Linked DNA regions of Arabidopsis thaliana. The protein of the gene in region 2 interacts with the protein of the main gene of each other region in a pairwise test. Each region holds a gene or a part of one and is shown on either strand. Other genes may lie near its edges.

What was found.
Region 1: the proteins of AT5G37890 (region 2) and UEV1D-4 interact in a two-hybrid assay, tested with the Arabidopsis thaliana proteins (one large-scale study listed by BioGRID).
Region 3: the proteins of AT5G37890 (region 2) and UBC36 interact in a two-hybrid assay, tested with the Arabidopsis thaliana proteins (one large-scale study listed by BioGRID).
Region 4: the proteins of AT5G37890 (region 2) and NAP5 interact in a protein complementation assay, tested with the Arabidopsis thaliana proteins (one large-scale study listed by BioGRID).

What each region holds. Positions count from the first base shown.
Region 1 is NC_003074.8:19,492,798-19,500,158, forward strand, and holds UEV1D-4 (ubiquitin E2 variant 1D-4), read right to left. Parts: upstream 3,299-7,361; 5' UTR 3,158-3,298; coding exon 3,124-3,157; exon of another isoform or gene 3,101-3,123; intron 2,612-3,100; coding exon 2,472-2,611; coding exon of another isoform or gene 2,469-2,471; intron 2,286-2,468; coding exon 2,106-2,285; intron 2,022-2,105; coding exon 1,881-2,021; 3' UTR 1,580-1,880; downstream 1-1,579. Other genes in the region: AT3G52550 (transcription repressor OFP15-like protein), read right to left, coding at 1-115; AT3G52561 (uncharacterized protein), read right to left, coding at 4,391-4,690. UniProt on the Arabidopsis thaliana protein: Has no ubiquitin ligase activity on its own. The heterodimer with UBC catalyzes the synthesis of non-canonical poly-ubiquitin chains that are linked through 'Lys-63'. This type of poly-ubiquitination does not lead to protein degradation by the proteasome.
Region 2 is NC_003076.8:15,087,393-15,095,289, forward strand, and holds AT5G37890 (Protein with RING/U-box and TRAF-like domain), read right to left. Parts: upstream 4,564-7,897; 5' UTR 4,431-4,563; coding exon 4,239-4,430; intron 3,789-4,238; coding exon 3,120-3,788; 3' UTR 2,286-3,119; downstream 1-2,285. Other genes in the region: AT5G37900 (TRAF-like superfamily protein), read right to left, coding at 6,511-7,092, 7,267-7,410. UniProt on the Arabidopsis thaliana protein: E3 ubiquitin-protein ligase that mediates ubiquitination and subsequent proteasomal degradation of target proteins.
Region 3 is NC_003070.9:5,773,714-5,781,703, forward strand, and holds UBC36 (ubiquitin-conjugating enzyme 36), read right to left. Parts: upstream 4,772-7,990; 5' UTR 4,615-4,771; coding exon 4,579-4,614; exon of another isoform or gene 4,377-4,578; coding exon 4,322-4,376; intron 4,226-4,321; coding exon 4,139-4,225; intron 4,116-4,138; exon of another isoform or gene 3,760-4,115; coding exon 3,701-3,759; exon of another isoform or gene 3,408-3,700; coding exon 3,366-3,407; intron 3,254-3,365; coding exon 3,180-3,253; intron 3,072-3,179; coding exon 2,974-3,071; intron 2,875-2,973; coding exon 2,837-2,874; 3' UTR 2,464-2,836; downstream 1-2,463. Other genes in the region: ACR11 (uridylyltransferase-like protein), read left to right, coding at 83-237, 619-664, 751-888, 1,020-1,114, 1,256-1,340, 1,437-1,496, 1,827-1,882, 1,991-2,096 and 2 more; EBS3 (Alg9-like mannosyltransferase family), read right to left, coding at 5,549-5,680, 5,769-5,858, 5,952-6,148, 6,321-6,459, 6,560-6,671, 6,819-7,114, 7,248-7,465, 7,679-7,838 and 1 more. UniProt on the Arabidopsis thaliana protein: Catalyzes the synthesis of non-canonical poly-ubiquitin chains that are linked through 'Lys-63'. This type of poly-ubiquitination does not lead to protein degradation by the proteasome. Mediates transcriptional activation of target genes.
Region 4 is NC_003070.9:26,882,322-26,889,124, forward strand, and holds NAP5 (non-intrinsic ABC protein 5), read right to left. Parts: upstream 2,849-6,803; coding exon 2,618-2,848; intron 2,522-2,617; coding exon 2,435-2,521; intron 2,350-2,434; coding exon 1,693-2,349; downstream 1-1,692. Other genes in the region: AT1G71320 (F-box family protein), read left to right, coding at 164-473, 516-752, 866-1,497; GDPD4 (PLC-like phosphodiesterases superfamily protein), read right to left, coding at 3,235-3,403, 3,483-3,610, 3,684-3,773, 4,020-4,112, 4,214-4,294, 4,385-4,445, 4,550-4,647, 4,734-5,000; AT1G71350 (eukaryotic translation initiation factor SUI1 family protein), read right to left, coding at 6,204-6,325, 6,420-6,803.

The DNA.
Region 1 (7,361 bases), on a different chromosome or scaffold from region 2:
TTCTGAAAGATTGAGTTCTAGGGTTTTGGTGACAAGAAGGCCATCCCCATGATGATGAATTTGAATTTGAATAACATGAAGATGAAAAACTCTTGTTTAAAAATGGGACTTTCATAATTTTTCCACCTTTGTTGTTTGCTATCGTTTTATTTTTTGGGTGGATTCAAAATGAGAAATATACTTAGGGGAGTATAAATACAAAATGAGAAACTTAGTATTTATTGTTGAACCTAAAAGTATAACTTTGATTAAAAGTAAACAAGGGTTTAGAAAACATCATTGACCGTATTACATGCTGATCCATAATTTTACTTATAAGTTTGGTCGTACATATTTATCTATCAACCATAACAACAATTTGTCCCATTCGTCTGCGGTCCGTCTAATTCTGGTAAACATAATAATAACCGTACCTATCACAATTTATATTCTTTTTAATGTTCCTTTAAAGCTACTCGACACTCAAATGTTAAAATATGGATGTAACAATATATCTTCCACTTTTAATTTCACGGTGTCACCATATTTATTAGTTGACAACTTCACTTAAGAAAACTGGCTTGTGATTATGCGTATATATCCTAAACATAATGCAAAGTTTGAAACGCAAGTTTTCACATAGCACTACATTTCGTGGAATCTAATTTTCCAATATCAATTTAAGCATATTTCTATATGTTGCTAATGTACATGTAAATATGTAATGTTTCTATTATAGTAAATTAAAATGTACTTGCTTTCGACTATATGTATATAATTATTTCACCCACTTATAAGTTGTTGTTTGGATCCAAAGTTCTTAATTAGGACACCACCACATTTATTTATTGTTTATTTTGTCATCATGCAACCGAATGTCAAATATATCTATACTAAACGCATTTTATAATCTCTAACTATATCATATAAGTATATTGTGAAAGAAAAATTATTTTCTTCTTCTCCATTCTAAAAACGAAATTTTACAATAAAAAGGAAAAAAAGAAAAAAAAACTACAGAGATAACATTTATCACCATAAGATCCAGGCTGGATCAATCCAACCATGAGTGTTAATGTTTGGGCTTGAAATCTGATGAAACATAAATTAATTGAGCTTCTGAGCAATGTGTAAATGTGTTATAGGTTTAATTACGTTCAACCACTTTTTTCATTTATTTAATAAGTTGATTTTCCAAGACCACTCGTAATCAACTTTCATGGAGTCCGTTTATGGTTAAGACCACTCGTAATCAACTTACAAGCAAGTTAAACAGTGTCCTAAAAGTAGAAGTCTACATGTCGAAGAATGATTGTTTCTATGTCAAGAACGACGACGCGGAACATCAAGAAGTACATGCAAATCGACGTGCATCATCATCAATAAGAAGTGTGCTAATTGTAGAAAAAAGTAACACTTAGTTTTCAAAGGTTCTATTAATCACCGTAAGCATTGGCTTTAGATGAATCACAGAAACAAAAATAAGGGTTACGAAGCTGTTCATGGCTTCTTTTTCCATTAGTTCGGATTACAAAGATTCATGATTTTTTATGATACTTTCTTGTTTTAACCTTGGTGTATTACATAACAAATAACCAATTAAATATAGCAGATTTCATTTATATATAAAAAAAGGGCTGACACAAAATGTTAAATTCAAAAGATTGAACACATGGAGTGAGGAAGAGAAGCTGTTTTTGATATTTGCACACAATGATAAAACTTCAGATGATCAATCGGACAACATCATCATCATCACCATACCATCCACACAGACCATTTTTTGATGAATTAAAAAAAAAAAAGCGTTGAGAACGACAATGGAGGACCCCCAGATACATACTTTGGTATTAGAAGGGGCAATGATTTTCTAGCAAACCAGAAGAAGATTCCAGAAGTAACTAGAAGCAAGTACCTTCCGGAGGTTGAACAAGCTTACGGTTATGCGACGTAGACATTTCCTTCTTCAACTGTACCAGTATATCCTCCATTGTGTACTCTCTTTGCCAGTTTGCAAGTAGCCCAAATTTCTTAGGATCCACCTATACACATACGCATAAAAAAATTACAGAGCATCCAAAGAAACAAAACAGAGAAAGGAAGGGCGGTGGTGAGTTTATACGTACCACTCCTGTTTCGTGGTTGACACAAGCCATGTTGACACGTGAATGGAATCGGACAGTTGGAGGTTTCTCCGGGTAATCTTTGTCACAAAAGAGCTTCAACTGATAGATTCTACCTTCATGAACAGTCTGTGACATAAAATTTATCTCTGTTACTACAAGCAAAAGCAACAATGGCATAATCTGCTCAAATAAAGCTTAAGAGATTGTATGTCGATAAGATCAATGCCTAGAAAACAATGTGGTTTTGATGTTCTGTATTCCAAGCAATGAGATGCAAATAATATTAATCTATGCTTCTCAAAACAATTGTTAACATATATGAAGACGAAGGAGAATGTTAGCAGATAAAGAAAAAGATATAACTACGTTGTGAGGACCGATGATGGTGCCAGTCCAAGAACGCATATAGATGTCATCTCCATCATCCATTCCATAGCTCACAGTTCCATCCCCAATACCTTTCTCCCCACGTTCAAGCTCCTCCAACAACCGAAAATTCCTCGGAACTATATTGCAATAACAAGCGTAACAAAAACAATTCATATCAGTAAATGAAAACAAGCAATCACTTTTTTTAATCAAAGCAGAGAACAGAACATATCATATTAATCATTATCCACAAAGACTAAAATAAGATAACACTCAACAAAGTTAACAATGAGCTATAGAGAAGATGAAAACATTCCTAGCTAAGGTCTTAGAAACAATAAGAAACTCAGGAATAGCATTTTAAACCCATCTCAGGAATTGAGACATCAGCAAATCATTCTCAGCGATTTGTTAAAATTGATTGATTCAGATCAAGCTATATGCGAACAATTTAGACAAAGCTACAATTTTTTATACTAGATCGATAGAACCTATGAGAAATCTCAACACCTATTGATCAAAACGAATAAAACCAAAAGAAGAATTCACCAAAACCCTAGAGAAAAAAAAACAAACGAGGGATTATTCCAAAACCCTAGAATCAAAATCAAAAAACGAGAACAAACCCGAAAGAATCGAAATTTTATACCAACAACGCTAGATCCTCCTGAGCCAAGAGTCATAATTGATGAAGTTGTGGTTTCGATATCCGATTGATTTTGAGATCTGACGAGCAGAGAAGAGAGACGAGAAGAAGTAAAGGGAGAATCGAATAGAGAGAATCTGGTGAATAGACAGAAAGCTAAAATGGGAGGGTCAAATTTGGCAAATCGGGTACTTTTGGGGAGACTGGAAAAAGTTATTTTTTTCAAATTTACCGCCCAAATTTGTTTTTCTATCATATAATTCCTTAAATTATGATAACTACAGAAACACCCCTTTTATTTTCGAGTTTTGACAACATCTATTTGTTATTATTTTAACTAGCAATGCAAAATTTCTATATACATGAAAATTATTGAAATATTAAAACTCGCTTGATTTGCAACTAAATTATCGTAAAATGTAAATTTCTTTTTCAAAAATCATGTTAAAACTTTAGGATAAAATGTTGTCACGTATATATGTCGTCGCATGTGCCTTAATATATATGAAAAACAGAAATTAATTATTTATTAGATTTTTGAAAATTTAGTACTTATAAATAGAAAAATGTCATAAAATACATTAAAACAAATTTTAGTTGCTACTTTTTCACTAAATTTAGGTTTAAAAATATTTTCTTAAATAATTTAATATTTGAAGTTTGTAAAAGTTCTTAAATTTTATTGAATTTGATGGTGAATTGTTTTGAATAAATAACGTTTTAATTGATGAAGATACAACTTTTAACCTTAATTATTGAAAATTTCATCGGATTGAATGCCGATGAAACCAAAGCAATACCATTATTAGCATACTACCAATTTGATTCTTAAGACCCTAATTCGAGACGTGTCGATTTTTTTACTTGTGTTTAAATTTATATTTTGTAATTTTTAAAAATAAACTTTCTATTTTTTTTGGCGTTTTTCATTTACATTGAAAAACTATGTTTCTCTGGAGTATACAAATAAATAAATATAAACGCAAACGCCATAACTAGCGTTTGAAACAATCGAATTCAACTCCGATGAAAATCCATCCTCGTTCATGTCATTGGCTTCCATAGTACTAAAACATGAAAATGGACAACTTAACAAAATGAACCAAGAGGGACGGCCACAAACAGAAATGATCTGTCTGTCAATTTAACATATTAAAATAGAGATTATAATTTAAACAATATGATTTATATAGAGGACTTTACAAAGAAAATTAAATTCATCATCTCAAACTCAAAAGTCCAAATTGAATAATAACTTAAAACAAATTCTCTAAAAGAAGATCAAGTCGGTGCATTTGCACTTGGGGCAACGTTGACGTTCTTGTAAGACCATAACATACATCATACAACTTCGACATCCCATCACCACCATCTCCGGCGCCTCTTCTTCATCAACCCACGACGATGCAACCTCCTCCTTCACTTCCTCCGTCCTCGTCAGGCACGAGTTTTGTGATGATGATGTGTCGCTCGATGGTGATCTTCCTTCAAACCTCCCATTAGCAACCACCGACGCCACGGTCCTCGCCGAGGGCTCAACGCTACCTCTTTTACCATTCTTGTTTCTCATTTCGATACTTCGGTTTCGTCGAGAGGGTTTTTGTATTCTTGTATTTGTTTTTCTCTGTGTTTTTCTAGGGGATGGGTTGATGGTAATGACTTCTAAAGAAAATGTATGTATGTAATATATAAGGAAGAAGAGGAGCTAAAATATGACTAGGAATTAATATTTGTTGAATAAAGTAATTATGTTGTGGAGAGAGATATGACTTTGTTTATTTCGTAATAATTTTTTTAATTGGAGGTGGGAAAGTTAGTAAAAGTATAGTAGAGACAAATATATGAAACAAAAGACAATTCAGTAAACAATGCATTAGTGCATTTAAACCAGTGCAGCAAACTATTTATTGCTAAATGTAAAGGGGAAGACTTAAATCTTACAATTTAAAAGAAGAATTTATGATTTTTTATTGGTAATCTAAATTTTAAGTAATATGTCATCCATTTGATTTGTTAATGTAACGTTAAATTATATTTCAAGAAAATAACAGTTTTACAAATACTACGATTTGTGTTTGAAAGAATTTAAACTTAGGGTTTAAAGAATAAAGAAGAAACTGAATTTGTCATCCATTTCACAATAGTTTTAATCTTATGACTTCACTTTTTTGTTTCATAAATTTGTCGTTTTGTATATTTAATGTATATTTTAAAGAAACTTATAGTTTATTTATATGGCGTATTTTATCAATTAGACTTTGTTTGTTTGATTCATTTATTAGTTAATACTACTCAATGTTTTATCTATTAAATTGTTTGTCACAGTAAGACTATTATTCAACTGATTTCTTGAATGAAAATATGTCTAAAATAACTTTAGTGACACCAATACATATTTTTCTCATAAATGTTTTTACTATTCTCTCTGTTTCATTATAAATTTTGTTTTATAATTTTACACGTATTAAAACCTATTAATTTTTTAATTGTATAATTTATTAAATTTTCAATGTTAAATCAATAAACTACAATAATACAAATATAGAACTACATGGTGTGATTTATAGTCATTTTAGAAATAGTGTCTAGAAAGTATGGTTCATTCAAGAAAATGGTCTAATAATAGTTTATAGTATGAAAAAACAATTTTGAATATAGTTAAAGATAGAAATAATGGCTAGCACTAACTAAAAATGAATCAAATAAAAAGAATTCATCTACAATTTACTTTTCGTTATTAAAAATTAAATAATAATAGTACGTTTATACAGTGAAGCATCCGTTTCAAAGTTTCCAACGACGGTTTCATGCGCCAGCTAAAAACTTCTTTTTGATTGATAATCAAATGGACATTCTGAAGGTACCCACAAAACTCAACTACTTTGAGTTACTTTCCAAATTTTGAATATAAATCAATGTTTTTGGTGGTGACAAATTTTGACAATATAAAAGAATGAAAGATGTAGATAGATGTATGTAAGTAGTGCTTGCTGGTAGTTAAATTGGATATTCAAAGGTGAAAACCATTAAGATGTTTCTAACTACCAGATTCACTAGTCATTGTAAAAATTATCACAAAATGTTTAGCAATAATTTAGAAGAATAAAAGGATATCCATTAATGTTTTTAAAAAAAACATTTCCTTTGATTAATCTAATGATGGTAGTTAAATTACTTGACTTTAATTTCCTGTCTTTTTATTTTAAAACAGGAAATTATTTGGACGAAAGGTTATGGTACAATAAACTTTATTACTGTACTTTTAATGTTTCACATATTTGCATAACTTTCATTTTTCTAAATTGTTACGATCAAGATAGCCATTGATTTTCATTTGAACAATGGAAAGTAACTGGATATGAGTATGATTTATTGATTAGTACTCTCAAAATGTTTATTATGATCAATTAAACAGACGTTTGTAACTTGCGTTTTAAACCGTCATTTGAAGTAGAATTTTCATAATTATATAAAATCTCCTATATATATTATTTGAGAAGCTAGAGGGATAACGTTTGAATTTTAGAACTTTGAATAGCAAACGAAAGAGTAACAAATTAAAAAAAATGAAACAAACAGTTACTAGAATTTAATACAAGAGGCCAATAACTAAAATACAGACCTCACGAGGACATAATATAGCTGTTAATAACTTAGGAATCTCTCGTGTATTAAATGTTTCACAATTAAGAGGACAATCAAATTTAAAATGATTTATAGACTAAAAAATTTAACGACAGTTATGCAACAGGGTTTCAAAACTTTAATGGCAATTATACAACAGCCTAAACTGGGATGATTTGTGAAAGTGGCCTCTTTAATTTTTGAATTTGCTTCACAAGATTATAAGAATATAAAAAAGCTAGGAATATGTTGTTTTAGCAGAAAATAAAATAATTATATAACAAAATGTCAAATACTACCATTGACCTTCCATAAAATCTAATACCTCAGCATCAGTTATATCCCATGTGAAGCTATTTAATGGAATTTAATGGTAGCTTTTAGTTGATACTACCATTTGTTTACTTTTCTTTTGTTATCTTAATCACATTCATTACGAATCTGAAGAGTGAAGGAGATAACTTCTGGAATCTGTTTCTCTAATATTTTTCAAGTAATCGCTACTAATCGAGTTAAGTTATATACTAAGAAGATCGAATTTGATTCCAAGTGAGATGAAGCTACGCTTGAGCATAAAAACCAATTAAGTTGTATATCTTGTTTAATGCAAGCCCTTT
Region 2 (7,897 bases):
TTACTGATTTCTAACATAGTATTAGAATGGTTTTTATAGTCTTTCTAATCTTTTTTGTATCTTTTTTAGTCATTACAGGTGCATATCTACTTTTAAGAGCTATGAAGCATAATAAGGAATTTTGGAAGCTTTTCAGGAAAAGAAGACAAGCAGAAACATTATTCATACGTTGGTGTCGATCGACACCACGTCAGTATCGATCGACACCACGTCAGTACCGATCGACACCCTTATCGACAAGGATATTTCTCACGTATCATAAAGTCTTTAAGAAGTCTAGAAATTTTTCTTATTTGTAAAATAGACCCTGCACGTTTTTACTAACCTATATTATATATATACTAGATATTAACCCGCGGTACCACGGGTGGATATGTTCATTAAAAAATTATAGATAATTTTTTTAAAAATTATTAATTGTATATAAATAATATATTCTTAACACATAATTTTTATTTATGTAAAGCTTCGATAATTCATTTTTATGTTCTCATATTTGTTAGTTAATTATGAAAATTCAATATTTATTTTTATGGTTTGGGTTTTTTAGAGGTAATAAAGATTTAAAACTTGTATTATTATTATTATTATTTTTTAACTTGTATTATTTAGAGATTGACCCGCGGTACATCCAGGGTTGAAATATTTCTTAGAAAATTAGATATTTTATTTTTATTAATATTGTTTATATATATAACATATTCAAGAGGTACATCAAACGTCTATATTTTTATTAAATTAAAAATATTATTATTGTTTTTAGGATGATCTATAGATACATGCTATTGTCTTTTATGTATGATAGTATGATACACCTCTGTATGATTTTTATAACTATTTTTTTTTAGTGTTTAAAATTGTATAATTGTATCATTCCGTATTAATATCGATCCAAACCTATCCCACCATATAACCTCGTCCCGTGAAATTAAACATCATTTTATCATTTTTTTATGAAGTTCGAATAATTATAATATTAGAAACTTCAAAAAAGTTTTAATATGGACCAAACTTCATAATTGTATATTGATTGTTACATATAGGATTTCACCCGTAATATATCGTTCAATATTAATATATTTTTAGTATTTATAATATTTTAACTTCTTATAAAGTTCAAATATTTACAAAATTTACAACTTCATAAAATTTTAAAATTTTTAAATCATTAATATTAAATTTATTTTATAGTTATTAACTTTTAAATTTTCTTAAGAAATTGTAATACTTAACTTTTAATAAATTTTAAATATATATAATATTTTAAAACTTTAAAACTTTTACTTATTTAAAATAAAGAACCGGAGTAAACCGAACAATACTTTTAATTTTGGATGTTTGATATATCAAGGTTCCTTCTCATTCGTATTCAGAATCACTTAAATATTTTTTATAGTATGACTCTTAACGATGTCCCAAATTTTTAAGCAATGTGGGACCTTTAAAACTTTTTTTTTTATCGATGGAGTATTATATGTCTGTTTTAAAAAATTTGAATTTTATCGGATGCAAAAAAATCTAATATTTTATTAAATATATGTATTTTATATATAAACTAAAATAGCTATATATAAAAACAAAGATAATGACAGAAAAATTATATATTTATATTTAATGTTGATATATAGATTTTAGGAAATTAGCCTTAATCGAATATAGTTCAATAAAAAAAAATTTAGTTAAGGATAAAAAATTAGGAAGAGTTGATTCAACTAATTAATGCAATTCAACTAATTGTAAGTTTTTAGTTATAAAGTATTTGATTGAGATTAAATTTGTAAGGACTAATATTGAAAATAGTAAATAGGTGAGGGATTTTTGGTCAAAAACCTTAGCAAAAATATATACATGTAAATATTTTAAGATTATTGTTTAGACCTAAGCAAGTTTTGTGTGAGAGATATACTTTTGGAGAGAAGAATCATATCACTAGCAGAAAAAGAAAAATATTTAACTTAATCTGCGTTGTAGACTTGTCGTATTTTCCTTGTTTAATTTTAAAGTAATAACAAATACTATCATGTATTGTATTGTACACTATTATTTTACAGTTGTCCAACGTGAAGTCACGATATGTTCTTGTTCCTAGATGGGATTCGAAGTCTTGCTTCTTCAAACTTCCAATCGTTAGAAACAAGATCCGGAAAATCCGAAGTCTTGATAATTGAACAGCTCTCCGAAATCAATAATGAACGACTTTCTTTAACAAAAAAACAAAAAGAAAAAAAAAATAATGAACGACTTTTTTATAACAAAGAATATAAAAAAGCTTTCAACTAAAACAAAAGAAAGCTTAGTTGTATTCACAAGTTTTTATATTAAATGGCTGGCTAATATATATATGCAAGGGGAGAAGGAGAAGAAGAATATCACAAAAATCGATCCAAATCTCCATATTAGCAGCCATGAGTTCAATGGGTGTATTTTGTAAGGAGGAAATTGGTGGAAAACCGAATTTGGTATACACATTAACACAAACAGACAACCCAACCTCTTCTGGTGAGGCCCTAACCATGGATTCTGGTGAGGACGATCTCCCTCTTCAACCTCTTTTTTTCTGTCCTATGGGATATAATTATATGTCCATGTATACTTTCTTAATTATATCATCCTCCATATATATATATATTTAACTAACCTTTTTTATAATTCATGATATATACTTGATCTTGCTAAATTATACACACTTTTCAAGAACTACAACTCCAAAACTGAACATATTTTGTAGAACTTCGCTAGAATCCTCAAATCCTCAAAACAAAACTAGTTTTTGTAACTTTTAGAATCTAGTAAAAGGGCAAGTTTCCAACTTCGTTGTTCCTAATACAGAGTTTATAACAAGAAACACCAAAACCTGGAAGAATTTTAGTTATCAAGAAATAAGAATCAGAAAGATGGAAAAATCTTCTTGGAAGACAGGAATCGTCAATGCTTCATAGCAAATGGCCTATGCATAAATTATATCTTAGTTTAGATTGAAAACATTGTGAAACGTTTTGTTGGTCGATTGCACCAAGTCTCTAAAATTACAACCCTCATCAACCATAACGACTATGGGCGGGTTAAGATAACTAAAACGAGACAGATAAGAGTTTTCTAACAGGAAGACCCCAACCTTCTTACTCTTTGTTCAACTTCTTGACGCTAATCCTCATTTCCAACACATCACCACGCAATAAACTGTTGGGAATCAACATGAAATTCTCTTGCGGGGTTTGAAAACTCAACTTAAGAACCCTCTTCACCTCTGGTGATTGGTAAATCACAGTGTGTCCATCGACAGTGTAAGAGAGAGCATATGAGTACTGACTTAATTCTGGAGAAGATGGCGCAATGCAGCTTACAGTTACATACACACCATACGGCTCCCTGAAACACTGCACTGCAAACAAATGATTCGTCAAGTGTTCCGTTCTAATCAATATCTTTTTGCTGATGTTCATCCGGACACTTAAGGGAATGTCACAAATGAACGTATTAATCTGGTTTATTTCCATATGGGTAATACGATAGTGAGTGTACAGATCCTTGTATGAGCTAGTGTAATTGCAATCCAATGCAGGGCAGGCGCAATGAGAGAACATGCATTCCTTTTCATGAGTTAACTCTTTCCCATAAGATACATTCTTTTTGCAACCTAACTTGGCGTTCGGACACGGGATCAAGATCGATTCAAGAACACTCTCCATTGCTCTGCAGCGATTGTGGCCAACAGGCGAAGTACACGCAGGGCATTTGTTATTTAGTTTGGGACAGCAAGAAGAACAAGCCAAATGTCCATTATCACACTGAAATTCAAAACCAATAACTTGTGATCAAAAGCTATAACAACGTCGAGATAATATTCATCGAATCGACCAAGGATAATAGTTCTCTCCCCAAATGATTCTCCCATATAATTCATGATATAGACAAGTTATACACATATTTTCAATAACTATATACAACTGCATACATGAACATAACTTACTAAAGTTCACTAGAATTCTATAAAATCATCACAAGCTAAAGCTTAAGGACACTCTTGAAATCTAGTAACTAGTAAATGGGCACAATTCCAACTTCTTCTCTCTGCAATTTCTTTAACATAACTTTCAAAAGTTCACTAGAATCCTCAAAAGCTAAGGCTACTCTTAGAATCAAGTAAATGGCCACAGTTCCAACTATGTTCAGAGTTCTAACCAAAACAGAAACTTTCTGAAAAATACGAAATGATTCAATTTGAGAAATTACGAAACCTGGAAGATGGGAATTGTGAAAGCTTCGTAGCAAATGGGACAATCGAGAATCTCCAGATCCATTAGCATTGTCGAGCGTTTCTTAGCGTCTCTCTTAGCTGCATCACTAGAAGAAAGTTGTCTCTTTTGCGAGAGAATGCTGTTAGATCCAATTCCTTCGCCGGGAGATTCCAAAATCGCGGCACCAACCATGTCGGAGAGATGACTAAACCCTAAATTCGCTTTTAGTCTTCTCGAAAACTGAGAGAGGCAAATAGAGAATTTAGTTGATTTTGTTCATTGATGGATGGTTTTACAGAGAAAGGAGACAATGGCACAAACTATAGATGATATGGGCTTCGATAGTTCTTCAATTCCCAATTAAGGCCCATATAATATATAAACAATACCTTTTTTTGATAAACTTATAAACAATATCTAATTTTTAAGTCTATTAATATTTACAATATAAAAGAATATAATTATATATATAAAACCATTTAAAAATTAATATTAGTCTTAAAGTTTATGTATTTTTTAATTCTTCAATTCCCAATTAAGGCCCATATAATATATAACAGAAACAATGTCTAAATTTTACAAAATACAATAATAATTATTTATTTAGTCTTAATAGTTTATGTATTTTTTGCTACATTAATTAATAAGCTAATTTTTATTTTTAAAAGTTATGTAGCTTTTATTTATTTTTTTGTCAAAAATGTGGTTTTGAAGTTGGGATTTGGGGCAATCACAAACCACTAGACTAATTTTACCTTGGAAGATTGATAAAAATAGCAAAAAAAAACAATTTCTTCAAAAATAGCAGCTCATTTGAATAGTTCCAAAATTACACTCAAAACTTTAATTAATTATTAAATATTTAATATAAATAACTAATTTAATTAAATAAATAAAATTAAATATTTCTCGCCAAAGATTTTTGTCAAAATTTTCTCACAAAAAAAAATCCGTCAAATGTTTCCCATAAAAAAAATTTAGGAAAGATTATTATACGAAATTTGGGAAGGATTTCACGGAATTCATAAAAGATTTCACAAAAAAATCTTTCCTAAAACTCTTCCTGAATTTTGTAGAATCTTTCTTAAATTCAGGAAATGATTCTTTGAAAGATTCCACGACATAGATGTCACTCCATTCAGTATCAGAGTCCTGACCTCTTTTCTTCAGGTAATTTCTAAATTTAATATATCATAGTGTTGACCTCTATTCCTCAAGTAATTTTCAAATTAAATGTTTAAAAATTCTTTTGATTTTTGGTGGTAGACTGCTAAGATTAAAGAGTCCGATATCTACATGATGAAGATAATGGAGTGCTATACAATGTAAGCTAGTAATTCAAACCTTGAGGAAAATATTATTGGAAACGCAAGGAAAAAATCGGCGGTTGATTCACAGAATTAACAGATATATAGGTTAGTATATGCTTAAACCAATATAATTTCAATAACCATATCGTTTGCAGAATTAACAATTTATGAGTTATATAGTTCATTTTTTTTGAATAGGGTCAATTACTATGCAGAAGTAGCAGATTGCTAATAAAAAAAAAGTTTGTGTTAGCATATTCATAGAGCATTCACCCAAATGATGAATTTGTGTACTTTTTGAATTTTTTTAATTGTTAATTTTAATAATTAAAAATAAAATAATTATTTGAATGCTATTTTGTCCAAAAAATGTTTGAGTGCTATTTTTTTCCAAAAACTTGAAATGGTGCTATTTATGGAAATTTCTATTTTAACTTTTGCTATTATTTTTTCTGCTAAAGATTTAAGAATTTTGGTATTAGCTTTTATATTCTTAACTAATATGTAAAATTGCAGTTAAAACTACCATATTGGAATTCTTTAATCATTGAATCACAATTCACAACTAAATTTTTTCTTCTGCTTTTAGACATCACACGTTCGTACGTTTACTTATAATTAGATTTCGACTAAGAGTAGAATAAAAGATGGAGACCATAATCATGACAAACGAAAGAGCACGCATTACTCCAATTTGGTCATGCATAAAGTATAGCTTAGAAGTTATTAGATTAAAAAACTGTGAAATGTTTTGTTGGTCGATTCCATCAAAATTTCCATTATCACTCTAAATGCACAAAAACGTGTTAAGCAATACCAAACAAATTGCATCAAAGCTGAATCAAGCCGTTAAGCAATTACATCGGATCTTAGTTCGTCAAAACTTATATAAATGTCAGACGAGATAGAGAGAGTAAAAAAATGACATTCCTTCCTTCTAGTTCTATATCACCTCAACATTCTTACTCTTGGTTCGACGTTTCGACGATAGAAAGCTTAATATCCAACAATTCACTACGCAATAAATTGTGAGGTATCAACATGAAATTCTCTTGAGGTGTTTCAAAACTCACTTTACGAACCCTCTTCATTTGTGGTGATCTGTAAACCATAGTGTGTTCATCCACAGTGTAGGAGATTTGATATGAGAACTGTCCAACTTCTGGAGCAGATGGTGCAATGCAGCTTACGGTTACATACACACCACACGACTCCCTAAAACACTGCACTGCAAACAATATTTTCTTCTCATATACCCTTGTAATTTGTATCTTATCGCTGATAAGCATCGGGGCCTTATATGGAATGCTAGATCTAAAGCAGTTAGTGGTCCAGTATGAGTTCGAGATGTGAGTCAGTTTATAGTGATCATAGAGATCCTCGTATCGGCCGGAGTACTCACAGTCCAATGAAGGGCATGAGCATAGAGAGAAAATGCATTCTTCTTCATGAGTTGATTTTTTCCCATATAAGAAACTCTCGGTGCAACCAAACATGTCGTTTGGGCATGTGACCAATATCGATTCAAGAATATTCTCCATTGGCTGATAAAGAAAGCACAAGCAGGGCATTTGTTCCTCAGTTTGGGACAGCAAGAAGAGCATGCTAAATGTCCATTCTCACACTGACATACAAAAAAAAAAACACTGTAAAAATTTCAAGAAAAAAAATATGTATTAAAAGCTGGAAAAAAACAATTTTTAGACAAGAAACAAAACCTGGAAGATAGGACACGTCAATCCTTCACAGCAAATAGGACAATCGAGGATATCAAGATCTAGCAATGTCGCCGAGCGTTGTCTCTTAGCCACTCTCTCCCCTCCATGACCTTGAGATATCAAAGCTTCTAAGGCTCCCACCATGTCACCTAGATATCAATAGTAAAAATATTATCATATTTTCATTAATCAAACAATTTTAAAACATCCTCGACTGATGAAGGCAGAAGAGTTTGTTCGAAACTTTTATAAGACTTCCGTACCAAAAAAAGTAAAAAAAAAAAAGAGTGTTTAAACGCCAACTTTTTAAATCTCAAAACACAAGTCTGATATCTCTTAAACAACGATGGATAGATCTATTTGTAGAAGACAACTTTTAATACATCTCTTAGGAGTGGTAAACACAAATCCAAACTAACTAAGGAAAAGGAAACTAACCAGAAAAAGGAAATCTTGTTAAATACCTTAGAGCTTGAAAACCAAAAACGCAAGGGAAAGCTAGAAGAACACGTGTATGTTCGGTTTTATTTTAATTAGGGTTTTGTGTAAGGGTTGAAGAAGTATTTGACACAAGTTCATATCGTAATTAACGCAACTGATATATGTGTAGTCAATCAATCAGACATTCACA
Region 3 (7,990 bases), on a different chromosome or scaffold from region 2:
AGGCTCTTCTTCTTCTTCGTCATCACTACTACTACTCCTCTCTAACGTTTTCCTCATTCTTCTTAATTCCGATTTTTGAGTGATGGCTATGGCCTCTGCTTCTGGTTCTGCTCTTTGCTTCACTGATGCTTCTAGCTCTCTTGCTTTAAGACGCGATTGTGGAGCTCTTTGCTTGCCTCCTAGGACAGTTACGTTTGGATTTGTCGATAAACCTCTTGTCAATCTCGAGCGATTAAGGTTTTTGTTTTTTGGCTATCTCTTGATGCCTTCTTGAGAATTTGAATTCGAGCTTCTTTTGGATTGCTTTTTCGATTGTGATCTTAGTTTTGTGCTGATTCGAGTTTCATGAAGTAAATACTGTTTCCGAAACAAATTCTTTTGTAGTGAATTTTCTCCACAGATCTCTAAATCCTTAAAAAGCATCTGATACCTTTTTTTAACGATTATCAGAATTTTGTGTTCCGAGTTGCTAATCTTTTTAAAATGTCCAAATGATTTTATTGCTGGTTATAAATTCGTATCTTTTGCTGGAATTCGATTCAAAGCACAGATTGTTTTGAGCTGATCTTCTACGGATTCAAATACTTCAATTCAATTCTTTTTTTTTTTTTTCTTCAGATTATCCACTTTGAAGATTAGAGCATCAAATGCTACTGCTGTGGAGGTATGAAAATGAAATGATTACACAAGGACACTAGTAATTTGAATAGACTTTTTAAAGTTTATATGTTTTTGTTTTTGATTTTGAAGAATGGAAAGCAAGAAGGAAGTGCTGCTGATTCTGATAAAGTTCCAACTCCAGTTGTTATAATCGACCAAGATTCTGACCCTGATGCAACCGTTCTTGAAGTTACATTCGGAGATCGTCTTGGAGCTTTACTTGACACTGTAAGGAAGGATACCTTCTTCTTACTCACTTGTTGCTAGCTCTGCATAATCGACCAACATTCACAAAAGCTTCTTACTTCCTTTCCTGCTTTTTTGACTGCTTCTTGATCTGATCAACTTTGCCCTTCTAGATGAATGCGCTCAAAAACTTGGGATTGAATGTCGTCAAGGCAAATGTTTACCTTGATTCTTCCGGCAAGCACAACAAATTTGCCATTACTAGAGCGTATGTCTTTTCATATCATCAAAGAGTATTTTGAGCTCCAAGAGTCGTTTAGATAGTTAATGTTGCTTTGAATCGATTGACTCTGTCAAATAGTTGACTTTAGATTGAGTTTTGAGCTGACTGTAATTGTTGTTACAACAGAGATAGTGGAAGAAAAGTAGAAGACCCTGAATTGCTTGAGGCCATTCGTCTCACAGTCATAAACAATCTGCTTGAGTTTCATCCTGTAACTACTTCACATCCTAATATCCTCTCTTTCTATTTTTCCTATATCTTGCATAATTTTTTAACTCACACATTGCTTCTCGATGATTTGGATCAGGAATCAAGTTCTCAGTTGGCAATGGGAGCAGCTTTTGGTGTTCTTCCTCCAACTGAACCGGTAAAAACCTTAAACTGTGATGCTCTTTTTATAACCTTATCCACTTCTTTTGTATTGCACTAATTCTTCAAGTAGTTAGCATCCTCGAACATAAAGGTCAAGACTGCTTGTCGTTTCCTCGGTCACGTACAGATAAGAAACAATAATAGAGAAAACAAAGACTTAACTAATAATCAACATATTTGGATTTGGCGGGTCAATGTAGAGTACAAGTATTAAACTTCATTATAGTATTAATCACTTTGATGAAGAAGGGAATACCCACGCAACTTCAAAGTAGCTTCAAAATTCATTTTCCTTCTTCTGTATTTTGGATTGGGATGTTGACAGATTGACGTGGACATAGCAACACATATAACCATTGAAGATGATGGACCAGACCGCAGGTAATGTATACCCATACCTTATCTCAACTCTAGAACCTTATCCAAATGCTTTTATTCTTATGATATATGATCTGATCATTGATCCATAATTATTTGTTGATGATGCAGTTTACTCTTCATAGAATCAGCGGATAGACCTGGACTATTAGTTGAGCTGGTGAAGATCATTTCAGATATCAGCGTCGCTGTTGAATCTGGAGAATTCGACACCGAGGTATCTAATAATCCTGTTTTTTAATGTCTAAAACATATACCCTCCGCTATAATATCGCTCTGTTTCTCATGTTGCTTCTTCTTGTTGTATGTGAAACAAAAAGGGTTTGTTGGCTAAGGTGAAGTTTCATGTAAGCTACAGGAACAAAGCCCTAATCAAGCCTCTCCAGCAGGTTAAAATTCTGAAATTAGACTTTTCTCTTTGATAAGTTGAAATGTTTTTACTGAAATGAAATCAAATTTTGTATTTGTAGGTCCTTGCTAATAGTCTGAGGTACTTCTTGAGGCGTCCATCAACTGACGAGTCAAGTTTCTGATTATGCCCATTTTTCAAAATCTCAAGTCTCATTCCTCGTGACTACTATTTTTACCACTTTTTTTTTTTTTTACATTTGACCAAAATAAGCTGCTTCATACACCTGTAATAGTAACATTATGCATCATTCATCCAATTTACTTTGATTCACAACCTGTGAAAATCTGATTATCTACACCACTTTATAAAGATTATTATAGAGCATATATAACAAAAACAAAGATCAAAAGCAAGCACAATTGAAGAAAGTTAGATTCCAGATATGGGTAAACGAGTCTTAGATCCCCCTAGTTATACAAATTCAGAGAGTACAAATCTTTTTCCTCTGTTTTCAGAAAAAGGATTCAGATAAAACCTTGAGATAGAGTTTCACCATATATAATGTTATTTAAATGACAATGATCTTTCTCCATTTGCAGTCTTCTTTAAGCACCACTTGCGTAAAGACGAGTCCATTCCTTAGCTGCATAAGTTCACATTGATATGAGATTACCAGATTAGAGAGGAGAGGAATAAAGTTTTTGTTGCAACTTTTTTGAGTTTTTCGATCGTATTTTATCACCTGTTTCCACAGCTTCTGCCTCATTGCTCTTCCAATGCTTAGCTATGTTCTCAGACAGAGGATCATCTGGGTTTGGTGCACTTAAAAGAGCTTGGATACTGTTTTTACACGGCAATGGAAAATCAGAAAGTGTGAATAATTAAATCTTAATTTCTACAATATTTTGGATTTAGTAGGGAAAGAAGATTCTATGGATATATTCATACCTCAAGAGCACAGTTCGTATTTGTAGTGCAGGACTCCACTTGTCTTTCAGTATGTCAAGGCAGATTCTTCCAAGCTATATATACATGATAAGTGCAAACAAAACATGATCCATAAGTATAAAAGACCATGTGTTTGGTTAGTTATCTTGACAGTAAGAGAAGAAAAGGAAATTTTTCACAACAGACCTTGTCGATGTTAGGATGGTAAATCTTGGTGAGAAACCTAACCTGTGTTTCAAATGATATCATCAATAAGACCCATAAACTCTACATCAATGAAGAAACTTGGATACGTTGTCTAATATAATATAAGAAAATACATTCGGAGTAGTCATAACAAAACCAAAATCACCAATCTCATAAACCCATAAATAAAATCCTAGTGTTAAGAGTAGAGAGACATTCACTTAAAGAGCATTTACCTCCACTTAACAATGTTATGTGGGGTAATCCTAATGTTACCAAAACAAGTGAAACATGAAATGAAAGAAGAAAAACACACAAAAGTTGAAGCAACTTACCTTGGGAGCTGCCATAGGATATTCTTCAGGCAAAAAGAGCTCCAACTTGAAAACTCCTCCTACAGATTGAGAAGGAAACAAAATTATTGGTAAACATCAATTAACAGAAATATGATGATAGATAAAACAGCAGACTTGATTCTGGAAATTCGACTTGGCATTGTGTATTCTAGAACAAATAAAATGTGTCGAAATGAACTCAAAGGTAGCTTAAAGACTCATCGTTATTCATAACACTACAATCCGAACATGAGCAATCTATGAGACCTAGTAGTACCTAAACGAACATATCCGTTTGTATAAACAAATATAGAGACAGAGCAGAGTCACTACTTGCAGCAGAAACGATAACGATAAATCGTTGAGCAGCATGCATTAAAGAAGAAAAAGGAAGAAGTAACGATGAGCATCTTTGGGAGATTAAAACAATTTGACTACCTTCATAAGGAGATTGAGTAGGACCAAGAATCATAACATTGAAATATCTCATATTTTCCTCTGATGGAGACGCACTTATCCCAGGAGCTGCAATTTCGAAAGATATACAACTTAGAATTAAAATCAATAGTTCCAGCTACCAAAACCAACTGTTTGAGCTAAAATCAACTGTGAGAAATCAACAAGGATCGAATGAAGTGATGAAATTACCAGGTTCACTAAGCAGACGTTGAGTTTCCTATCAGATCGAAGAACAAAAAAAAGTCAGATCAAGATGACGAAGATGATATAAGATCGTACAAGCTATCGAAAATTCTTCCCAGTTCTGCTGAGGTATATAATCCGTCGGTTCCTTCTTCGGATTTCAGATTAGAATTCCCCAAAATGAAACTGAGGGGAGATACGGATCGGAGGATGCTACAGAGGATCGGAAAACTAACCTTGATGATTCGTCGGGGAAGATTACTATTGGCCATTATCGCACGCTATCGGATTCGATCGTCACAGAGAAGTTAGGGTTTTTGAGAGAGAACGAAGCTACCAAAGGCTGATAATAATCGAGTACGCTTCGTCGTCTCTAGTTTCGTGCCCCTTTGATCCTTTTAATTCTTTCTTTTTTTCCTTTACGGAAATAAATTGATGCTTTTATGCTAGTAAAAATATATAATTACATGAAATATGTAAGGAATACATTTAGTAAATAATTTTCTGTAAGTTCTCTTCCATATTCATATTCAATTTTTTTAAGAATAATTTCCATATTCAAATACTTTTTTAACCATGATTGAAAACTACTAAGAAAATAATCTTTTCTTAGTTTTGTAAACGACATGCACTATTTATTAGTCTGGTGGTAACATAGTGACAACATTATTACAAACGTCAATATACCTACCATGATCTCGATGACTCGATCAAATTTTTAGAAAAATTAATACCTTGTTTAGGTTATTCTTTTCTTCAAAGATAATCTTTTACAATATATATACACAACTTTTTTAGTTCATTATCTTCAATTCTATTGCGTTCTTCTTCTGTACCTTTTTACGACGCGTTGGTCAAACGCTAACTTAAAGAGGACAGAAATATGAATTATGAAGTGCCCTCCATAGTCTTCTCATTTTCTCCCTTTTTCTCGATAGCCAAAATTGGAATCCGCAATATCAAAAGACAAAAAGAATATAGACTTTGCACAATAATGTCATAAACATAATCTTCCACGTTCTTCTGACCATTTGGAGATTTCTTACAAAGTTAAAACTAGTCTCTTTCACAACAACACAACTACGAACCGTGAACGTACCTGAACTTAAAGCCGATACTAATCAGTTATTAGTTATTACATTCTCCCAAAACTACCCAATGAACTGAGTTAAAGCTACAAGTCTAAGGAGTTTTAACGATTTGTGATCATTTTGGGACTCTTCTCAGTGCTACGTATTTGCCAAACACATTTTTCTCCTGCCACATGTGCGGGATGAAGAACGATCTATACTTAGCTGGCGACAGCTCTCTGTCCAAATAAGGCAACACCGCAATAGCCTGAAAAAAGGGTCAAAACAACCAATTGAAGAAGTGAAGTGAAATCAAAGATGGATTCTGTTTCAGGAAGATGGTTTGATTCCTATACCTCCCATGTAGATAAGTCGCTGCCTCGATACTGATACGGTCTGCTAAGCTGCAACTCAATGAGGAATGTACAAGTTTCGATGTTCTTTAACTGGAAAAAATGGAACGAGTAAACAAGCCATGATTAAGTTTATGTTTAGAGATATTTTGAAGGTTTCATGAGAGAAGAGTGTGTGAGTATTACATATTGTTCTTCGGATGCTTGGTTCTTGTTGTTGAAGTATGGAGGTGATGCTGAAGTGCCTCCAAGTGTATTGTTAAATGGGAATGGAAGAAGACCGCGGAATCCATCATCGATCCACCGTACTTCGCTAATGTAGTGGGGCACAAAAAACGATGATGGGTATCGATGCCATTCACTTCCCACACATAGAACAGAACCTGACATACAAAACCAACCAAGAAGTCATCAGTGATTAGAAAACTTTTGTCAAAAGGACTTTGTTACCCTTTTTCCAATGGCAAATTACTATTCTTGAAGTAAAAGTGAGATGTGATCTTCACTCGTCTTAGCATTATAATGATCAAGAAGTTCAGTTCGAATTGGATATACCTGGTCCTGCATCATCATGATGCTCCAGTAGTTTGTAGACCTCCAAGGGAGCGGAATAGCCATTAATAAGAGCAAATGTGCGAGAATGTGAAGCACATAAGATACAACCAAGAATCACAGGTCGCATGTATTTGGTTATCTGCGTATTAAACAGATATGTGAGAATCGTACAATCTACTTCTTTTCAATTTGCGGAAAGGTATAAATCAGAGACTGAGATATTGTAAGTTGGAACTTACTGTCACCAGAAGACTTTCACGTGAGCTATACTTTTCCCGGAACAGCTCAGGGATGTTCTCAATAACAGCAGAAGCAGAGACACAAATAAGAGGGTATATAGGATAAAGGAACCTGCAGTCAATTAATTGACAATCAAAAACATTGTTTGTTGAATACCGTGATTTTGTAAAAGTATCATAAAACTGGTTTCCTCAACGATATAGAAGCCACCATACGAATGCTCAAAAAATTACAAGATGAAAGATCTTAGAAAATCACCTTTCTTCTTTGTGGGGCTGAAGTGACATGAACGCCAGCCAAATATACATCGGGGAAATCACAACCAGCAGGGCACGGTCATACTTCCTTCTGATAACAGGATATATTGCGACAAACAACATTGCCAAAATGAAACAGAAGTTGAAGTTGTTAAATCCATTTCTTATATAAAATAACGCTCCTTCAGTCCCATAGAGATGGCTCTCTCCACCCCCTAACACATTGTATATCAAGAGATTCAAAACTGATGATGTCCATCTCTTGTAATAATAGTAATCCACAAGTAGTGAGACTCCCTAGAAAAGAGACAAAACTAATTAGAAGAGAAAATAGTAATTTAAAGTTACAGGTGCTAATGAAAGTCAGCGAGATCCAATAATTCCCATAAAATTCACACAGACAAAGCATCTAGGATTGGTGTTAGCTTACAAGGAGAAATATAGTGGTGACTGCACCAGCGATAAATGCTTGCTTGAATCTCTTAACCAGAGAGTAAATAACGACAGGTAAAAAGGCCAAGATAGAAAATGGCCAGCCAAGAATCACCCCGACAACCGAAACTGCAACAGCCATGGCATACTTCTCGAAAAGTAATAAACCAGATGAGAGGCTTATGGCGTACATAGAAAATGAACTGGGGAGGAAACCTATCAAAATTTTAGAGAAACATGAATTAGTAAGAAACCAGAACACAAAGCCAAATTCAGAGCAATGTCTTTGGAATAACTTATACAAGCATTTGAAACTAAAACCTATCGGATGCAAGAATAACTTGGAAAGCCTATATATGCATATTAAGGAAATATGACAGAAAGCTTAAGCAAGTGTAACAACAAATCAAAACAAAACAAAACACTCACTGGTACTAGCAAAGAAGCAGCCACTGGTTAAGCAGAGCATCGCAACTGCATAGGTAGCGATACGTTTCCCATACTTTCTGGAGAGCGCAACAACCAGGACAGTATCTGAAACTGCAGAAACCAGTCCGAGAAAGAGTCTCACTGCATAGAAAACTCTAACCTATCCAAAAGATAGACGTAAACTGGATAAGAAACATGCAGTTATATCTATACCGATTAGAATGTACATCAGTAAGTATGCATTGCTTACCTTGTCATCACCAAACCACCAAGAAGCAGGCCGTCCAGCCAATTCATGGAATAGAATGTATA
Region 4 (6,803 bases), on a different chromosome or scaffold from region 2:
TATTTATTTGCTCTTTATTATTCTAATATAAATTAATAGTGTTATATATTTTTCGCCACAGTTAATGTTAAATCTAAAGTTAAAAATCCAACATTAGATCATTATTTTCTTTATATATAGAGATACACAAATCTACTCCAAGAATCATCATCGTAGGAAAAGAATGGAGAATGATAAACATAATAATCCCAAGACAATATTTATACCAGATGATATAGCTGAAGGGATCTTTCACCATCTTCCAATAAAATCACTGGCTAGATTCAAAGTCTTATCAAAAAAATGGACATCGATGATCGAATCAACCTACTTTTCCCACAAACGACTCATTCGTACAGGCTTACCAACCCCTAATATGAAATTTCTTCATATTAGTCAACACTTTACAGCGAATTTTGTTGAAGAATATTCAAACTCAATAACTTTTCTTTTGGAGACTTTTTCTAGAGATGATCAAAACAACAGAAAAACTTGTCTTTCTTCTTCTAGTTACTACACTTTTTCTGGTGATCCAGTCGACGAATCTCAAAATAAAACTATTCAAGTATTGGGGTCTTGTGATGGATTGGTCTTGCTTCGGATCCATGACGATTTCAGGTCCATTTACTTGATCAATCCGACGACTAAAGAACACATGAAACTTTCTCCCGAATTTATGCAATGGCCATTTACTCTTAGTTACTTAACCCCCGCAATGGCCAATAAACCATGGAGACAACTTTCTCAATCAGTATTGGATTATGACATATCTGGTTTGTCAACTTTCTTGTTCTATGGTTGATTATAGAGTTGAATTTTAACTTTCACATAGTAATATGTTATATACCTATTTATCAAAAAAAAATTTTTCGTCAAGGTGGATTAGTGAAGAGAATGCCGTCTCTTGCTGGATTTGGCAAAGATATTGTTAAAAAATCTTATAAGGTGGTTTTGATATATACAAGATATGAAATACATGATCATGAGTTCAAGGCCAAGGTCCTATCCCTTGATAATGGTGAGCAAAGAGACGTAGGGTTTTATGACATACATCATTGTATCTTCTGCGATGAGCAAACATCAGTCTACGCCAACGGATCCCTCTTTTGGTTGACATTAAAGAAGCTTAGTCAAACATCTTACCAGCTATTAGCTATCGATCTTCACACTGAAGAATTTCGATGGATATTATTACCAGAGTGTGACACCAAATATGCTACTAATATAGAAATGTGGAATCTGAATGAACGTTTGTGCCTATCGGATGTGCTAGAAAGTTCAAATTTGGTCGTTTGGAGTTTACACCAAGAATATCCTACCGAAAAATGGGAGAAAATATATTCTATTAAGATTGACGTTATAAGAACCAACCAATTACATGAAAAGTTTTGGATGCTTGGTCTAGCGGCTGCCTATTTTTCAAATATCAGAAATCGTCAAGATCAAGTTTCTTTTTTTAGACAAAGAACGATTTCGTATTTGCCAACAATGATTTCTCCTTCAAATTTGATGCTTTGATGTTGTTAATTATACTTTCAATTTTTAACAATATTATATGTAAGTTAAAAAGAATATTTTTAAAAAAAAGATGTTTAGATATTTATTTATTTTAAGTATATTGTAATTTCTTTATTTGACATTATGGATTATTTTTATGTTTTATTTTCTCTTGTTTTCTTTCTTTCTGTCAATATAATACATATTTGGATATAGTTATGATGAATATATACAAGTTTTTGAACAAGTTTTTGCAATTTTAAAAGACATTGGAGAACGGAAAATGCAGTGATGCATTTTATGAAACAGTTCAGTAGCAGTCTTGTAACCAGCCGTGACAAGAAGCGTGGCTCTAACAAGAATGCAGAGGGAACTTCCAAATGCCAAAGCAACATACACAACCATTAACGTAGAAAGTTTCACAGGAGCTTGCACATCCTCAGAAATAGGAGTAGCCCAAGCCATCCAGTAGTTACTTCCAATCTGTAGAAGCTGAAAGAGAATTTGCCCCAACAATATGAAAGGCACAAGAGCTCCTCCGTATGCCAGTGTGATATATTTCCAGTATACATCCAAAGCGACGCTACCTTTCGCCCTCTCTTCCTCTTGAACAAATTGTCTTTGGGGCTCCCCAGAATCTAATTTATCGTTCTTCAGATCTTGACTTTCTTGTTTCCCGTCGAAACCAATATCATCTCTCACAACACCATTTTCTTCGTCTAAAGCTGAGTTTTCAGAAACAGAACTGGCATCAGCCGACCCAACTACTGCCAGAGACTCTTGATGCGCACCTATAAGCTCCCTGAAATCTGTTCCAGAGATGAGGATATCATTATATTTTCCAGCTTGGCTGATTCTCCCATCTTTCATGACCTGAGGCATAAGAAAATCGGTTATGGATGATTTCATATTCTCAGTGCTGTAGAAAATGATAAAAGACAGTGAACTATTCACATACCAGTGTAAGATCAGCAGAAGGTAAGAACTCAACTTGATGGGTTACATATATAACCGATTTAGAACATAAAAGCCCTCGTAGAGCTTCCTGAAAAAAGTATGAGAATGAAAATAAATTTGATACATGATTGTTTACGGAAGGAGAAATCACAATCACACTAATGGCTAAGTAAGAAGATTGTACCTTAAAGAGATGTGACCCTGTGTGTGCATCGACAGCACTAAAAGGATCATCAAACAGATAGATGTCCGCATCTTGGTAGAGAGCGCGTGCAATATGTATTCTTTGCTTTTGTCCACCACTCAAATTGATGCCGCGTTCTCCAATGACGGTCTGATCACCGAATGAAAGTATCTCCAGATCTTTACTCAAAGAACATGCTTCAATCACCTTATCATATCGTTCTCTATCCATATTATATAAACAGACTTAATATCAGTCATCTGATTATTTAAACTTAAATACAAGTGTATTAGACCTTGTTCTAGGAGCAGGCTCATATCGTTATGTATAAAAGAAGATATCTGTGTGAGATTGTTTTCACTGTGCAGTCCGAAAAGTGTTGCCTCAGAGTCTCCTGGATCAGATTATCAGTAGCTGTATCGATAGAAGCAATGGCTTCATCAAGAACCGGCCATACTTTGCTTTTCTTGAGAAAGACTCGTCTTACTGTGTATCAAGGCGTCGTAGTGTGTAGTTGTCAAAAACTTGTGGATCAGCAAAACAACATAAAGAAAGATCTTTGCCAAAAACTTCTGAGTTGGTATTACAGTCATTAAGAATGCTCGAAAAAGAAATTCTCACGTCCGTATTGAAAAACCTTCTTCAAGACACTCAGTTCTAAGATCTTCCATGAGACCCTGAAACATAGATGGATCGCTCGTCACAACAGCATCCACACCTAAGTGAAGCATCCTTTTCATGGGATCAGCATCATCCACAGTCCATGCATACACCTCTTTGTTTCTCCTGTTGATCAGATCGAGCAAGGTTGTAAACACATGAGCAGGTGTGTTTTTATTTGAAAACATTGAAATCGATTGCTTACCGACGGACAACTCTAACTAATTCTTCATCGATCAAGGGATGATAAACTCCCACAACCCTAGCTCCCTTCATTCTCAGCAGGCTGTTTCTCGCCCCAGTCAAAGGATCTACCATCACAATGTATCCCACCTGCCAAAATCACTAGGAAATGAGCAAGAAACTTCTCTATCTGATCCTCACAAGACAATCCATTTCTGTTTACCATAGTATCTGGTGCTCGTCTAATTATGTCCCTAGCCAAAGTGTCGCTTTTGGCCCATACGATGCAATTATTGCACTGCGCTCTCTCAATCTAACAACAGAGGATTGGCGATTCATGTGAGCAAAGCCAGAAATACCACCATTGAAACATCAACAATTTATCCATACTCTTGTTTTTTCAAGTATCTATAGTAAGCTGTTCTAGCTTTGTGTACAAAGATACCAGGAAATAAATGATTAAGCAACGCTATTAAGGAATCAAAACATGTTTATAAATCTCGAGCACATTGTACTAAAGCTTTACAAGTACAAGAGCTAACAAAAACATAGTACTTACAATAGAAAGGATGTCTTGTGCTAACCCCTTTTCATACATTGGCGGTCCAACTTTGGCATCAAGGATCACTTTCCGGACTGAATTCGATATCAACTAGATGATTCAAGATCAAAACTAGCTTCAGCCACTTGTTACTAAGCAGAAATTACAAAGCAAAGCAATGACAAGATAGTAATTAAAAAAACAGGCATTACCGCTAAAGCCTCTTCAAGAGTAGGAATCCTACTACTTCCCAAGGTTCCTTTAACAATCTCCGAGACATCGAGTTCCTTGATCTGCAAAAAGATCATCAAAAGGTTTATGAAAAATGGATGCAAAAAAGCATATCCCAAAAGCTGGTAAAGAGAGAGAGGGAGAGATGAGACCTGTTTCATACTCAGATCTCCAACTTGAACAGAAGAGTTACGAGCAATACGCTGCAGATCCCTGACTGTGCGTGTGATCAGAAGATGAATAAGAAGAACACCGATGAGAATCCAAACACAGAAACATTAGAAGAAGATGATACAACAAGGATCAGAGTCTGTAACCTGTTGTGAAGAGCGAATAAAACACCATCGGAGGAACGAGAAACATCGACTTCAATGCAATCAACTCGAGAACGTATAGCGAAACTGTAAGCGTCCATCTACGATTGAGAAGAGTCCAAGAGATTAAGGTTTAAAAAGGTTAGTAGCAAGAGTGTGAAGAAGAAGAGATCGAGAGTGTACGTACAGTGTTTGGGAAAGCGAGGGTGGAATCGCCGCCGTGAGCACAGACAAGTGGAGGATGGTGAAGCCAATCGCACTTTTGCGCGACAATCTGACGAATTCGTCGGAGCTTGAAATGGAAGTAGAGAGGAGGGAAGATAGCTAAGAAAATCACAGCGAAGAGAATCGTTCTCTTGAAATTTCTCGAATACAATGGGCTGAAGAAACGACGGCGACGAGTTCCTCCGCCGTCGAATGGCCGTCTTCTGTGCCGCCATTCAAAAATCGCCATTAGCTGAACAAGACAAAGGTTGTTTTTGGAGCTAAAGACGACGTTTACTGCAATCTTGGAAAAAAAAGAAGTTCACCAATCACCATCAAACTATATATTTTTTTTTTTTTGTCACAACTGTTTTATTATTTATATTACAAAGCCTTTTAACAAGCCATATTTTACAAAGCCATATAACAGGCCATAAACGGACAAAAGCCCAAAGACCACCTTCTGAAGAAGAGAAAGCTAATGTGCTAATAAGTCAAAGCCCACATGGCACTAGAGACACGGTAAAGAGGACACGTGGAAACAGAAAATGATGAGTTGCAGAATGTCGCAGGTGGAGAATCATAACCACAAAAAACTTAAGTTCACCGGAATTGCTGTAAACGCCAAATCGGAAGCAGCTACAAATCCGATGAGACAATTGACAAATCTTCTGTGACAATGACTGTAAAATTTAAAACCTTCAAGAAAGAAATAGCTCACAAACTATCGACTTCGACTTCTGCCATTTAAAGGAAAAACAACATAAACCCAAACGATTCAACAAGCATCGGCAACAAGAAAGACAAACAACAGCTCTAATTTCATCAAAATCAAACAAAAGACACTAAATTAAACTTCAATCCGTAACTAAAAATTTGATCTTTTAAAATGAAAACTCAATAAGCTTGAAGAACAAATTAAGCCCCTTAAAGAAGGGAGGATCGAAAAATTACAAATTTAGATCGAAATGAAGAGAAAGAGAAATCAAAACCAATTAAAACCGAAGCAAAATAGAATCGAACAAGGTTGAAAGGCAAAAACTAAATTTGAAGAACGAAGCCGACCAACGGTGCTAAAGAAACCACCGATGTCGGAGAAAAGCTAGCCGACGTTGCTAAAGGAGCTAACGACGCCAGAAGGAAGCCAACCAACACCACTAAAAAAGCTGGCTATTGTCGGAGCCAAGTTTGAGCATCAGAAACTTCCTCTCTCTAAAAGATCTAGAGAGAGAAGAGAGAGAAAGTCCTTTTATTTTCTCAACTGCACAAAAGAGAGAAAGTCCATCAAACTATAAATTATTTTCTTTAATTTTTTTGTTATATTAAAAAAAAAACTAATAACAAAACAATTTTATTCTCATTTGTTCCACATCTCTAGAGTCACAGAGTGTACGTATCAAATAAAATTAGAAGATTAAAACACACAAAAAAAAAATGAAATAGAAAAAACCATTCACTTTCTAGTCTTATCAAGAACTTCGATGTATCTCTTTGGAACTCCATAGTGTTCCACCATATATCTCGCAAGGTTATCAATCACACCTCCTTGAATCAGAACCTCGTACCCTTTCTTACCTGAAAGCAAACACACAAAACAATCAATCATCTCTCAAATAGTTAATTCACTTACACAGCTGAACAAAACAAAAAGGATAGATTTTAAACGTACCTGGAAGTTCTCCAACTGAAGTACTGCAAGCAAACTTCTTCTGCAGTTCTGATCCAAACGAGTCTGGGTCTATCAAGAACGTCTCCATCCCTGTGACCTTGGTCACTTTTTTGTTACCTTGTCTTCGTTCTGTCATTATCTGAACCGGCTTTACAGCTCCTTTACGAACCACGGGTTCACCGCCTCCTCTCATCACTACGTGATTAGGCTGCATTCTACCTACAAATGTCGACCCAACATCCTTTTTGTGGATCTCTGACGGATATGCCGATCCCTTTTTGATAGCTCCTTTGAACAATGCATCACATAGTATCGGATCCAACACCACCATTGATTTGTTTGTTGGCTTTACTAGATTTTCCTTCTCAATGTATTTGAACACAA